2 linked regions of the Caenorhabditis elegans genome follow. The protein of the gene in region 1 purifies or fractionates together with the protein of each later gene. This does not show direct contact. Each region holds a gene or a part of one and is shown in the gene's direction. Other genes may lie near its edges.

The links.
Region 2: the proteins of F23B2.10 (region 1) and gba-4 fractionate together in Caenorhabditis elegans (co-fractionation; one large-scale study listed by BioGRID). This does not show direct contact.

The regions. Positions count from the first base shown.
Region 1 is NC_003282.8:9,152,181-9,156,252, reverse strand, and holds F23B2.10 (RING-type domain-containing protein), read left to right. Parts: upstream 1-1,889; 5' UTR 1,890-1,932; coding exon 1,933-1,981; intron 1,982-2,032; coding exon 2,033-2,244; intron 2,245-2,513; coding exon 2,514-3,434; 3' UTR 3,435-3,538; downstream 3,539-4,072. Other genes in the region: pcp-3 (Peptidase S28), read left to right, coding at 1-434, 497-989.
Region 2 is NC_003282.8:5,344,888-5,352,587, reverse strand, and holds the start of gba-4 (Putative glucosylceramidase 4), read left to right. Parts: upstream 1-1,690; 5' UTR 1,691-1,749; coding exon 1,750-1,816; intron 1,817-3,166; exon of another isoform or gene 3,167-3,239; intron 3,240-3,658; exon of another isoform or gene 3,659-3,679; intron 3,680-3,866; exon of another isoform or gene 3,867-3,887; intron 3,888-4,026; exon of another isoform or gene 4,027-4,047; intron 4,048-4,292; exon of another isoform or gene 4,293-4,313; intron 4,314-4,767; exon of another isoform or gene 4,768-4,788; intron 4,789-4,900; coding exon 4,901-5,083; intron 5,084-5,371; exon of another isoform or gene 5,372-5,380; coding exon 5,381-5,530; intron 5,531-5,575; coding exon 5,576-5,882; intron 5,883-5,931; coding exon 5,932-6,172; intron 6,173-6,289; exon of another isoform or gene 6,290-6,313; intron 6,314-6,704; exon of another isoform or gene 6,705-6,725; intron 6,726-6,989; exon of another isoform or gene 6,990-7,014; intron 7,015-7,109; coding exon 7,110-7,386; intron 7,387-7,433; exon of another isoform or gene 7,434-7,454; intron 7,455-7,521; coding exon 7,522-7,700. Other genes in the region: Y4C6B.7 (Activin_recp domain-containing protein), read left to right, coding at 292-343, 391-470, 684-789, 1,005-1,079. UniProt on the Caenorhabditis elegans protein: Glucosylceramidase that catalyzes the hydrolysis of glucosylceramides into free ceramides and glucose. C.elegans contains specific sphingoid bases, which are unique or different in structure compared to the sphingoid bases found in other animals.

The DNA.
Region 1 (4,072 bases):
CAAAATCTTTCAAGCATCTTCCAATTGCAACCACCATTTTCTGATAGTGTTACTGATACTGACCAGCATTACTTCTTCTCAAATGTATATGGAAACTTCCAAGGAGCTGTCCAATATTCTGGAGACAACACTGGCCCATATGCAAACGGATATGGAATTCCTGATATGTGCAAGATTATGTCAAATGACTCTAACACTCCATTGAATAATATTGTTGCATTCAATCAGTTTATGATTATTTTCTACAACGGAGGACAATACACAGGAATGGATAATAACTATCAGAACATGATTACTTATTTGAAAACTGCTCAACATTATGGACCGGACTCTGCTGCAGGACTCCTCTGGACTTGGCAGACTTGCTCCGAATTTGGATATTTCCAGTCTGCAGACTCTGGAAATGGTATCTTTGGATCTCCAACACCTGTGAAGTAAGTTTTTTGAATTATTCACCGAAATTGAAAATTTAATTTCAAATCTTATTAATTTTTAGTATGTACGTTCAAATGTGCATGGACGTCTTTAACAACCAATACCAGAGAACAAGTATTGACTATTCAATTGCAAACACCAATTACAAATACGGAGAGCGTTTCCATTATAGAGGAACAAATGTGGTTCTTCCAAATGGAAATGTTGATCCTTGGCATGCACTTGGTCTGTATTATCCAACTGATTCATCAGTTGTTTCATACTTAATCGATGGAACTGCTCATTGTGCTGATATGTATCCAGCTAGAGATGCCGATGTTCCAGGGCTCAAGGTTGTCAGAGATCTCGTCGATCAAAATATTGCTAAATGGTTGAATCAATCTCCAGCCACTGGAGCAACCCAGATACCTGGAACTGGTTCAACAGCTAAACCAGGGACTGGATCAACTTCTCAACCTGTAACAGCTTCAACTGTTCAGGCTACAACTAAATCTACCTCATCTGCTACTATTACCTTGTCATTCATTGCCATTTTCGCTAGATATCTTTTGTAAAATTTATTTGCATTATGAAATTGTTTTATTTTTATGAATTATATGATAATGTATTATATGATAATATATACTACTGTTCCTACCACTTTTCTGTAATGAAAAATATGTTCTGGAAAATGCGGTCATTCGTTACTTGAAAGGAAATATTTTCGACTAGAACGTCATAACGTGTTAGGATGGAAAAATGAAAGATGTACCAACTATGGCGAGTTTTAGTTATTTTAAAAATAAACCTAAATTCTGTGTACGGCATAACATCAGGCCCTTAGTATGGAGATGTGACATCGCCCAGTTACAACAGAGAGTGCATGTTTGTGTCTAAATGGTTGTTATGATAGGAGTCAACGCCGCTCTTTTGAGCTCTCTTCTTTGTGCGTTGTAACTGGGCGATGTCACATCTTGATACCATGTCCAGAATGTTTTGACAAAGAACTCACAATAGTTGGTACATCTTTCATTCGGACATCCTCTCACATTATGACGTTCTAGTCGAAAATATTCGTTTTCTTTATTGATTGCAGCTGTGCCATATGCGATTGAACTAACTAGGGAATTATCGTTTTTTCCTACTCTTTTGAAAACACGATTTATTTCACGTGTAGCATCAGATAGGAATGTTAACACCAAAACTATGGGATCTTTTGAGTTCTCTCTCAAAATCCGTAAGAAAAATGTTAAATATTTGAGTGTGAACATGGAAGATTGCTGAACTTTTGGTTGTATCTTGTTGACAAAATAATATTTTGAGGAAATTTCATAACCGATATATTTTCACAATTTTTATCGTATTGTTAATCGCTTTGATAAACAAAACAAGGTGTTTGTGTTTACTTGCTCATCGTTAAAATGTCTTTATTTGACAATTTTCTTCGTATTTGGAGTCACTATTAACTACTCAATATCGAATTTAAAACATTCATTTAAAATTTAAAATTTCGGCACAATGTCTCTGACCATTTCAACGCAATGCTCAAAATGCGAAAAGATTTACGGTATGTTTTGAGATTTATTTTTAAATCTATACAAACTTAACTTCTTTTTAGATGATAATAAAAGAAAGATATGTTCTGGAAAATGTGGTCATTCGATATGTGAATCATGTTTTGATCGAAAATCATCGGATATATGCTCGATTTGCAATCAGATAGATTCATTCGGTGTAAAGTGTATCAATAGAAGTGCAATGGAAATGGTCGAAATGAAGAAAAATGCATTTTCGTTTTCTGATATCTGGATTTTTAAGTTTGACCCAAAGGTAAAAAATGACCCCATAATAAAATACGCTGGTAAATATTATCAATTCATTAATTTAAAAAAAACGCCTCAAGAAACCTATACCAGGGGTGTGCGGCAAATTTGCAGAATTTGCCGTTTGTCGAGCTCGGCAAACTGCTTATAACTGTTTTTTTTTAATGTTTTGGATGTAGCGTGGCGTATAGAAATTGTACGCACTGTATGAATTGCCGTTAATATATGTCTATTTGAAACAATTCTAAACTTGTTCAAATGCATTTCTCATTTCAGGAACACTTCAACGGACCGTGTTCAAAATGTAATGACTATTCCACAATGCTTCGGGTATGTACCAACAGTGCAGTACAGGCAGGGCTATTGGTGAAAACTGGTGAAAATTCCTTTGATTTAACACCACATACCACTGATGAACTTCTGGAGACAATAATTCTTCGAATCAAAAGTATCGGAATTTGTGCAGACTGTGTAATTAATAATGGTTTGAAAGAAGATGTGGTAATGATGAAGAATATCAAGAGATTGTATGATATAGCTAAAGCTCTTAATTATCTTTCAATGTTCTCATTTTCCATGAAGCAAATTGAGCGTGAAATTGAAGAATTCAAGAACAAGAAGAATCAACTGAGATTCTACAATATGTACTATCATTTCGTCAAAGAGACCTATCCGGAAATAATGAAATGGTTGAAGAATGATCTTGTGAGAATATCAGCACCTCCATGTTGGCAGGTATTATTGAAAATTGTATCAATCATGACTCAAGCTGCACAGTCATTATTCTTAAAATCTGCGGAACGAGAACTTCAAATTTCAAAAGAAAAATTGAGAGATTCAAAAGGCAATTCAGAGTGGCAGAAAACGGTCGACAAACTTGAGAATTTTCGAGATTTTCTTGAAATAAATCACGTTGACGCTGAAATTCAACCAATTGATATGTGGAACTTTTTTGTATTATGTACAACTGAAGAGCTGGACAAGGTCACTGCAATAATAAATCGGAATTTAAAAATTCAAGGAAAAAGCAGCAGAGAAACATTGAAAGAAGTTTATTATCTAACAAGAGATGTTCGGAAAACTCTTCCTTTTCAAATTCCAGAGAGATTTGCTGGTTTCATTGATCGATTTATCAGAGTTTTGGTCGGAGAAAACTTGGATGAAGAGCAAGCACTGGAAATTCAATCAACAACTTAGATTGATGAGCACGAACAATTTTTTGTTTGAATATAATTGTAATTGTTCTTTACTGGAAATTGTGTTCATATGAAGTCTTGGAAAGTAAAAATATTCCCTTTGCATTTACGAAGTTACAGTAACCAAGAGAACATTTTGTTCGGATAATCATCTTAATTATGACATAACTTTTTTCGAAAAAAATTGTCAACCCTTCAAACTGTACAACCATACTTCCAAAAAATTAAATTGCCATGTGTTTCAGAGGTATATTTATTGTTAATGTTGTTGTTATGCAATTTTTTTAATTTTTAATCAGGATGAAACAAAGTGGAACCAATAGCATCGAATGAGTGTTCTGAAGCATCTCTACGAACGGGAAATTTCTTAGCTTCACTCCACGTATAAGCTAGATTATGTTTCTTAGTGTACTTCCAAAAGTGTTGTTTTCATTGCATTTTGTTTCATCAGAGGAACAACTTCTTTATGTGTATTAGTTGGATAAATCAGTTGCCCATTTACTCCGACAATTCGTTCCCCGGTTTTAAGCCCAGCTGTTTCACCAATACTCCCTGCATAAACTATTCCAATGTAATGTCCAATAGTTTGGTTAGCATGAAGTTGAAATCCAAACTCTTCGAGTGATGAGTATTTGAACT
Region 2 (7,700 bases), 3.8 Mb from region 1:
TATCTTCTAGTTGAAACTGTAAATCAAAAAGTGACATGTAAGCTCATTTTTGTGTGTAACTTTTAAAAAATCTCTCTGAGATCCAAGCTTATTAATAGTAAAACAAAATTAAAGTGAATTCTTAATTTCTAATCAGAAACAGTAAAACAGAAACAATGAAATTTTTCTTGATTTCCTTTAACTCAAATAATAAAAATTTTTCTGTTTCACATGTTCTTTAAAACTCATTCAATTTAATTGTTTAACATTACATGCTTAACATTACGCCCAAGAATAATAATAATTTTGCAGACGTGAATGCAGTTCGTGGAGCGATGAGCACAGTATGGAGGAGAAATGTCCGGTTGGTTCATTTTTTTCTGAGCATCAGACAATTTATATCAATTTTAGATGACCGGATGCCATTTCCAAACCAAAGATTCCACTTTTTGTTGCTGCCAGTTTGATGAGTGTAACGAGTGGAAGGGAGAGTAAGTTACTTTTTTTTGTGAAACTTTTTTGAAATAGGAAATACGAAAATTTTAGGTACGAAATACTTACAAGAATTTTTAAATAGATTCCAAAGAAAAAAAGAAAAAAATATATAAAGATTCATTACACATTTTTAGAAAAAAAGTTGAATCGAAAAATCTTAAAGCAGACTTCATCTATATATTGGCTATTTTTAAAACAATTTTTTTCAGCGGAACCGAGTTCAAAGCCGGAGAAACTAGCTCAAAATCGAAAGCTGTTCCAAGTGCTCCAAAACTCGGTGACGTCATCATGCCAACTGCAGCAACCCGTAAGAATGTTCGTGTGCATTGAAATTGCTTTATAGGATGAGATCAATTTTCTAATGAAATTTGAAAATCAAGTAAAACTTGTGAAACAGTAATTTTTTCAAGTGACTAAAACAATTGCTTGCTGATTTGAACCAAAATGCTGAACTATTATGGTTCAGTTGAAATTTTAGTTTTCAAATTATTTAAATAACACTAAAATTACAGCAAAATTTAAACTTTCAGAAAAGTGAAGACATCGTTCAAATTCCAACTACTGTCGCTCCAACCAGGAAGAGCAGTTTTGTCGAGCTTCCTTGATTTCTTAATAAAAAATTTATTATTTTTCTAATGGTTTAAAATTTTCCCTAACTGATTAGTTCATTTTGCATGAAATAAATGTTCAAAATAAAAAAAAAGCCTTTTAACAAAGTTTTCAAAAAATAATAAAATTTACAGAAGCATCAAAACGGTTCGTTCCAACTCGTACTTCTTCTATAATTGAAATCTCATTAAATTGTGCAAGTTTTTTTTTTATGAAACGACAGTAAAAAGCATACCATGAGAGTGTTATTACATTAATTTTTCCCACGTAATTAAATTTAAACACTGAAACGGTAAAATTTTTTGAACCTGCTAATAATATGTTAAAGTTCCAATTTCTTTATTGTTTTCAGATCACTATAGGTGACAACATGTAGCTCACTCACGCTCATACCACGAACTTTATCATACCATGATTTGTCCATTGCCCCCGTCATTATCTATATATGTCCTGCATAGTTAGCAGCCTGAAACCAATAATTTATGTGTTTTCCCTTCTTTTTTCCATAATTTCTTATCAGTTTCAATTATTTTTTGATCAGAATATTCCAACTGATTAGTCTTTATAAAAACGTGGTCAGTGTCTTCAAATATTGTTCTTATCATTTATTCATTAGTAGTCTTGGAAAGTGTCCGGTTTTAACGGAATACACTAGACTAGGCTATCATGATTTTGAATATATCCGTTTCTTTGCTAATATTTCTGGCGTTTTATGGATTTTCAAGCGATGCAAGTGAGTAGTAGAAGTGCCTGGAAGTGTTTAGAAAAGTTCTAAAAAAATATTACTGTTTCTCACTAGGGAGTGCTTTCACTATACGGTGCGATCGAGTAAAAGTAAACGTGTTATGCGATAGCTGGCATCTTAGGCTTTCAGAATCTGTAATTTGTTTCGGCGGAAGACCTCTGTGAGTCTGGAAATTTTCATCTGAAAATGTAGTACTGAAATCAGTTCATTTCCTATGGTTAACAGTGGATTTTGTCTCTGGCGCCAACAGAAGTCTCACCACAATGGTGGAAGGGCGAAATCATCGCTTCGGTGGTCGAGTGGTGAACGCGTTCGCCTCTTGAGCAGAAGTTTGTCGGTTCGGTTCCCACACATGGTTTAAATTTTGGGTTCTTTTATACAAAATTTTTAGAACGGGAAACAAATGTTTAAAACAGTTTTTTGAGGTTTTTACATTACTTTTTTGCTTTTTGATTGAACCACAATTACCCTGGAAACTTTTCAGAAATTTTTATTTTTTTCGAAAATTGCCACTTTTTTCTCCCATGAGAAAATTGGTTCCAAAAATTTTGTTTGAAATTTTTTCAAAAATGTATGAAATATTGTAGAGTGTCACGAATAACTTATTTTTCATTGTTTTCAATGACCGAATCACTGATTCTGATGCCGTATCAAGACGTTTTACCAAATCGATATTGGCAAAACATCTTGTTTTTGAGGCTCCATATCTCTGCAGAAAAAATCGCACTAAAAAGTGATCAACTAGAAACTTGTTAAACACAATGTGATCTAAAACTTTTCAGTTGAACACTTTTTTGTAAAAAATTTGGTTCCCAAGATATAGACCTTTAACTATTTAGAATATTCAAAAATAATGACGCTCAAATCAATTGGTTCCAACCTGGCAACCAAATTTTTTACAAAAAAGTGTTCAACTGAAAAGTTTTAGATCACATTGTGTTTAACAAGTTTCTAGTTGATCACTTTTAGTGCGATTTTTTTCTGCAGAGATATGGAGCCTCAAAAACAAGATGTTTTGCCAATATCGATTTGGTAAAACGTCTTGATACGGCATCAGAATCAGTGATTCGGTCATTGAAAACAATGAAAAATAAGTTATTCGTGACACTCTACAATATTTCATACATTTTTGAAAAAATTTCAAACAAAATTTTTGGAACCAATTTTCTCATGGGAGAAAAAAGTGGCAATTTTCGAAAAAAATAAAAATTTCTGAAAAGTTTCCAGGGTAATTGTGGTTCAATCAAAAAGCAAAAAAGTAATGTAAAAACCTCAAAAAACTGTTTTAAACATTTGTTTCCCGTTCTAAAAATTTTGTATAAAAAAGGCCAAAATTTAAACCATGTGTGGGAACCGAACCCACAAACTTCTGCTCAAGAGGCGAACGCGTTCACCACTCGACCACCGAAGCGATGATTTCGCCCTTCCACCATTGTGGTGAGACTTCTGTTGGCGCCAGAGACAAAATCCACTGTTAACCATAGGAAATGAACTGATTTCAGTACTACATTTTCAGATGAAAATTTCCAGACTCACAGAGGTCTTCCGCCGAAACAAATTACAGATTCTGAAAGCCTAAGATGCCAGCTATCGCATAACACGTTTACTTTTACTCGATCGCACCGTATAGTGAAAGCACTCCCTAGTCAGTTATGATATGACAAATTGTCATATCATGACTGAGAAACAGTAATACTGGAACTGAATTCAATGGAACTGAATTCTCAATAATCATTTAATAACTTCTATTTAAAAAAATTTAAAAATTCCCATTGAAAAATATTGCCGTTTCCGAGGTATAATATTTGAGTTAGTATTTGTATTACTTAATTCGTGCAATTCGAACAAATCTTTTTTTAAACAAAATGTGGAAATTGTGGAAAGTTGATACAGAAGTTTTACAAATTAAAAATACAAATTAAAACAAATATCGAGCATGAAAAATGCATTTGAAGCTACAACTTTTTAATATTTATTTTCACAAAAAAAACTCTGTTCCAACATGATCTGTTAAAATCCCACACTTTTATGATTCTGTTGCGAACAAGAAAATGTATTAGATATAACTGTCCTCAAATGCGTTTATAAAATTTCAATAAATGCGAACCAAATGTGACTAAAACGGACAAATCTGGACTTTTGCACTCAGAAATCGATTAAATTAAGACCCTAATTCTTAGTTCGGATTCGTCAGTTTTGCTACATCTAAATTGGATTCAACGATAACAATATTTTTTGAAGACTTCTAAAGATTATGTGAAACGGTATTTAAAAAAAAATTTGTCATTTCAAAAATCATTGTAGACATCAATCTTAACATAATTGCCAACATGAAAAGTTTCTACTGCTCCGAGGTAAAAAAAAGTAAAAAAAGAAAAAATTCATAACTTTTTGTTGTTATCCCAATAAAAAATTACTGTTTCTGTGTTATAATATGAGTTTTGGATTGGTATTGAATTGATAATAGTATCTTTTTTCAATATTTGAGCAATGATTTCATTACGCTTATACACATATGTATCAGATTTTTTCAAATTGTCAAACATTTGAATTATCAGAGTTTACAATTAACAAACCTTAATTAATAGATAACAGATAACAGTTATAATTTTTTTTAGGAAAATAACTCAGTTTCAATCTGCTAAATGCAAAATTTAATATTTTTCTAATCGTAACTATTTTTCTTCAAAATTAATTTTCGTATCCTTTAATCTAAATGGGCAGCAGACTGTAAAAAAATTATTTTAGAAACTTTTTTAGAAAAAATGCTTTAAAAAAAGCTTTTTCATAATTGCATATGCAAGACTAATAGAAGAAATACGGTAATTAATGTATTGTATTCATTGCTTGCAATGTGCAGGCAAAACATGGATAAAACAGTTTTAAAAAATTCCGTTTCAACAAATTTATTTATGAAATGTAAAATTTGAAATATGTATTTCGTATGGTAAAAATTTTCATAACCACAATTTACAGAACTGGAAATAGCTTTAGACATTTTCTAAACACGTAGTCCTGCACAATTTCCAAAACCATTCCAACTAACTAAACACAACTGAAGCCAATTTCCAGAGTCCCTTCCTTGCTCCGAAGTGAAGAAAGAGTATGGAATAGTTTGTCGTTGCAATGCCACGTATTGTGATACAATTGAACCACTTGGAACTGTTACTTCTGGGAAAGCAGTTGTCTATACAACATCAAGAAATGGAAAAAGAATGAACAGAAGTGAATTGAAGCATACAACTTCTTCTACAGGTACGTTAATTGTATAGGAAGTTCCATGAAGGCACAGAATTCTTGCCTGCATTCCTGTCTGCCTGCCTCCAGAATACACCGGAAGCTTATCAGTAACTTCTGGTTCGAAACTGATGCAAAATAGGCGGTAGGCAGGCTCTTAGATAGAGAGGCAGGCACCGCTCAACTAACACAAAAACCTTTATAATATTAGAATTTAGAGAATGATATTTTTTTATTTTGAAGTTGGCAAAAAATTATTCTACTGTTTCACAATTATTTTGTAACAATTGTTGATATGATACATCGTTTTTGTAGCCAAAACAAAAGTATATGTGAACACAACTCAAAGTTTTCAACCGGTAATGGGATTTGGAGCTGCATTCACTGATGCTGCTGGAATTAATATGAAGATGCTGCCACAGACAATGCAAGATCAAATTATTCAGCAATACTTTTCCGATGATGGTAAGTTATTTTCAAAAGATTAAGCTTGAAAAATAAATAATTTAGGTCTCGGGTATGTTTTTGGACGAGTTCCAATGGCTTCAACTGACTTTTCAACTCACGAGTACAGTTATGACGACGTTAAATTTGATTTTGATCTCAAAAATTTCAATTTAACAGTGGAAGATCTCCAGTATAAAATTCCATTTATCAAGAAGGCAATGACAGCTTCTGGAGGGAAATTAAAGCTATTTGCAACTCCATGGAGCTCCCCAGGATGGATGAAAACTTCTGGAAGAATGGTTGGTGCCGGAGAGCTATTGGGAGATCAGAATGGAAAATACTATCAGACATGGGCACAGTACTTTGTAAAGTAAGTTCTTATTTTCAAAGAAATAAAAAATAAAATTATAAAATGAAAGATTCTTCGAAGCCTATCACGCTCAAGGTATTGACTTTTGGTCTTTGACACCACAAAACGAGCCAACAACTGGAATTGATCCACTTTGGAAATGGCAAACACTCTTTTTCGATGCATCAATGGAACGAAATTTTATAAAGAAACTTTTGGGACCAGCACTTGCTTCATCACCAGTGACTAAGAATTTGAAGATTATGATTAATGATGATCAGAGAATTAATTTGCCACACTGGCCAAATGTAGTAAGTTATTGGTGGGATAAAACATTGAGTAATAGGTAGAAATGATTGAATGACTAAAAATTAATTAGATACTGTTTCACATTCAAAATAAATATATTAAAATTATAAACAAAACAGTAATCCAATACGAGAAACAAAACCTCTTTTATTTATTGAAAATTTTCAAAACTTTTATAGCTCTTTCCTTTGTTTATTTTTTTGTTTTCTATTAGGTACTTACCGTTTTTTAACACTATTAAGACTCCATTGTAATTAAGTATTTTCGAATTTTTTTCGAATCAAGACACTAGAACGGTTATTTTAATTTTAAAACTCGCTTTCACCTACAATTATTACTGAATTGACCGAATAGTTCAACAGTTGTGTAAATTGTTTTAGAAAAAATTAAAATCGAACGACAAAATGTGCAAAACTGATAAGAAACGTAATGCTAAAATGGATTTGTTGAAACATTGAAACATATCAGATATTCAAAAATTGTACTGTTTCACATTCAAAATAAATATATATATAGAAATTATAAACAAAACAGTCGAAACAAAAGTACTGTTTTTGGGAATCAAAATTGAGGTATTTTTGAGCTTTCCGTAGTCTTTGGTAAATTATGAAACAAAGTGTAATGAAGTATTTATTGACTAATTGTTAGAATTTGAAGATTATGATGAATGATAATCAGGAAATTATTTTGCCAAATTGGCCAAATGTGGTGAGTTGTCGTTTTGTTGAAACAGTTATGCAACAGTAGGGAAAAACATAAAATAATCAAACTTTGTGCTGTTTTACATTCAAAATAAATATAAGAAAATTATTATTGCCATCAATCTTTCTTTGGCCTTGGGAAGAGTTATCCGCAGAATTTACCTATTTGAATTTTTAACCCTTGATTAAAAATCATATCCCATTCCGACGTCCCCACTCTTTTAAAATAAAATTTTAGATTTTAACGGATCCAACTGCTGCTCAATACGTCCACGGAATTGCAATTCATTGGTATGAAGACTTCATTGACCCAGCAACCGTACTCACTGAAACTCACGAGAAGTTCCCAGACTATTTCCTTTTGGCAACTGAAGCATGTGCTGGATACTTCCCAGCAGATGGACCAAAATTGGGATCATGGTCTAGAGCTGAACAATATGCAAATGATTTGATTAAAGATATGGGAAATTGGGTTGGAGGATGGGTTGATTGGAATTATATTCTTGATTTACAAGGTTGGTTTGTGAAGTGTAGCAACACTTGCGATTTTTTAATTTAAAAACATCAAAAACCATAGTAAGAAACAGATTTAGAATTTTAAATCTTTGATATAACTAGGTTGAAACAGTTTTCTAATATTTATTTTCCAGGAGGACCAAATCTTGCCAAAAACTTTGTCGATTCAACAATAATCGTGAATGCAACTGCTCAAGAGTACTACAAACAACCAATTTGGCATGTAATGGCTCAATTCAGTAAATTTGTGAAACCGGGAGCTATTCGTGTTGGAATAAACATTATTGAGAAATCAGTTGATGTTGAGGGTCTT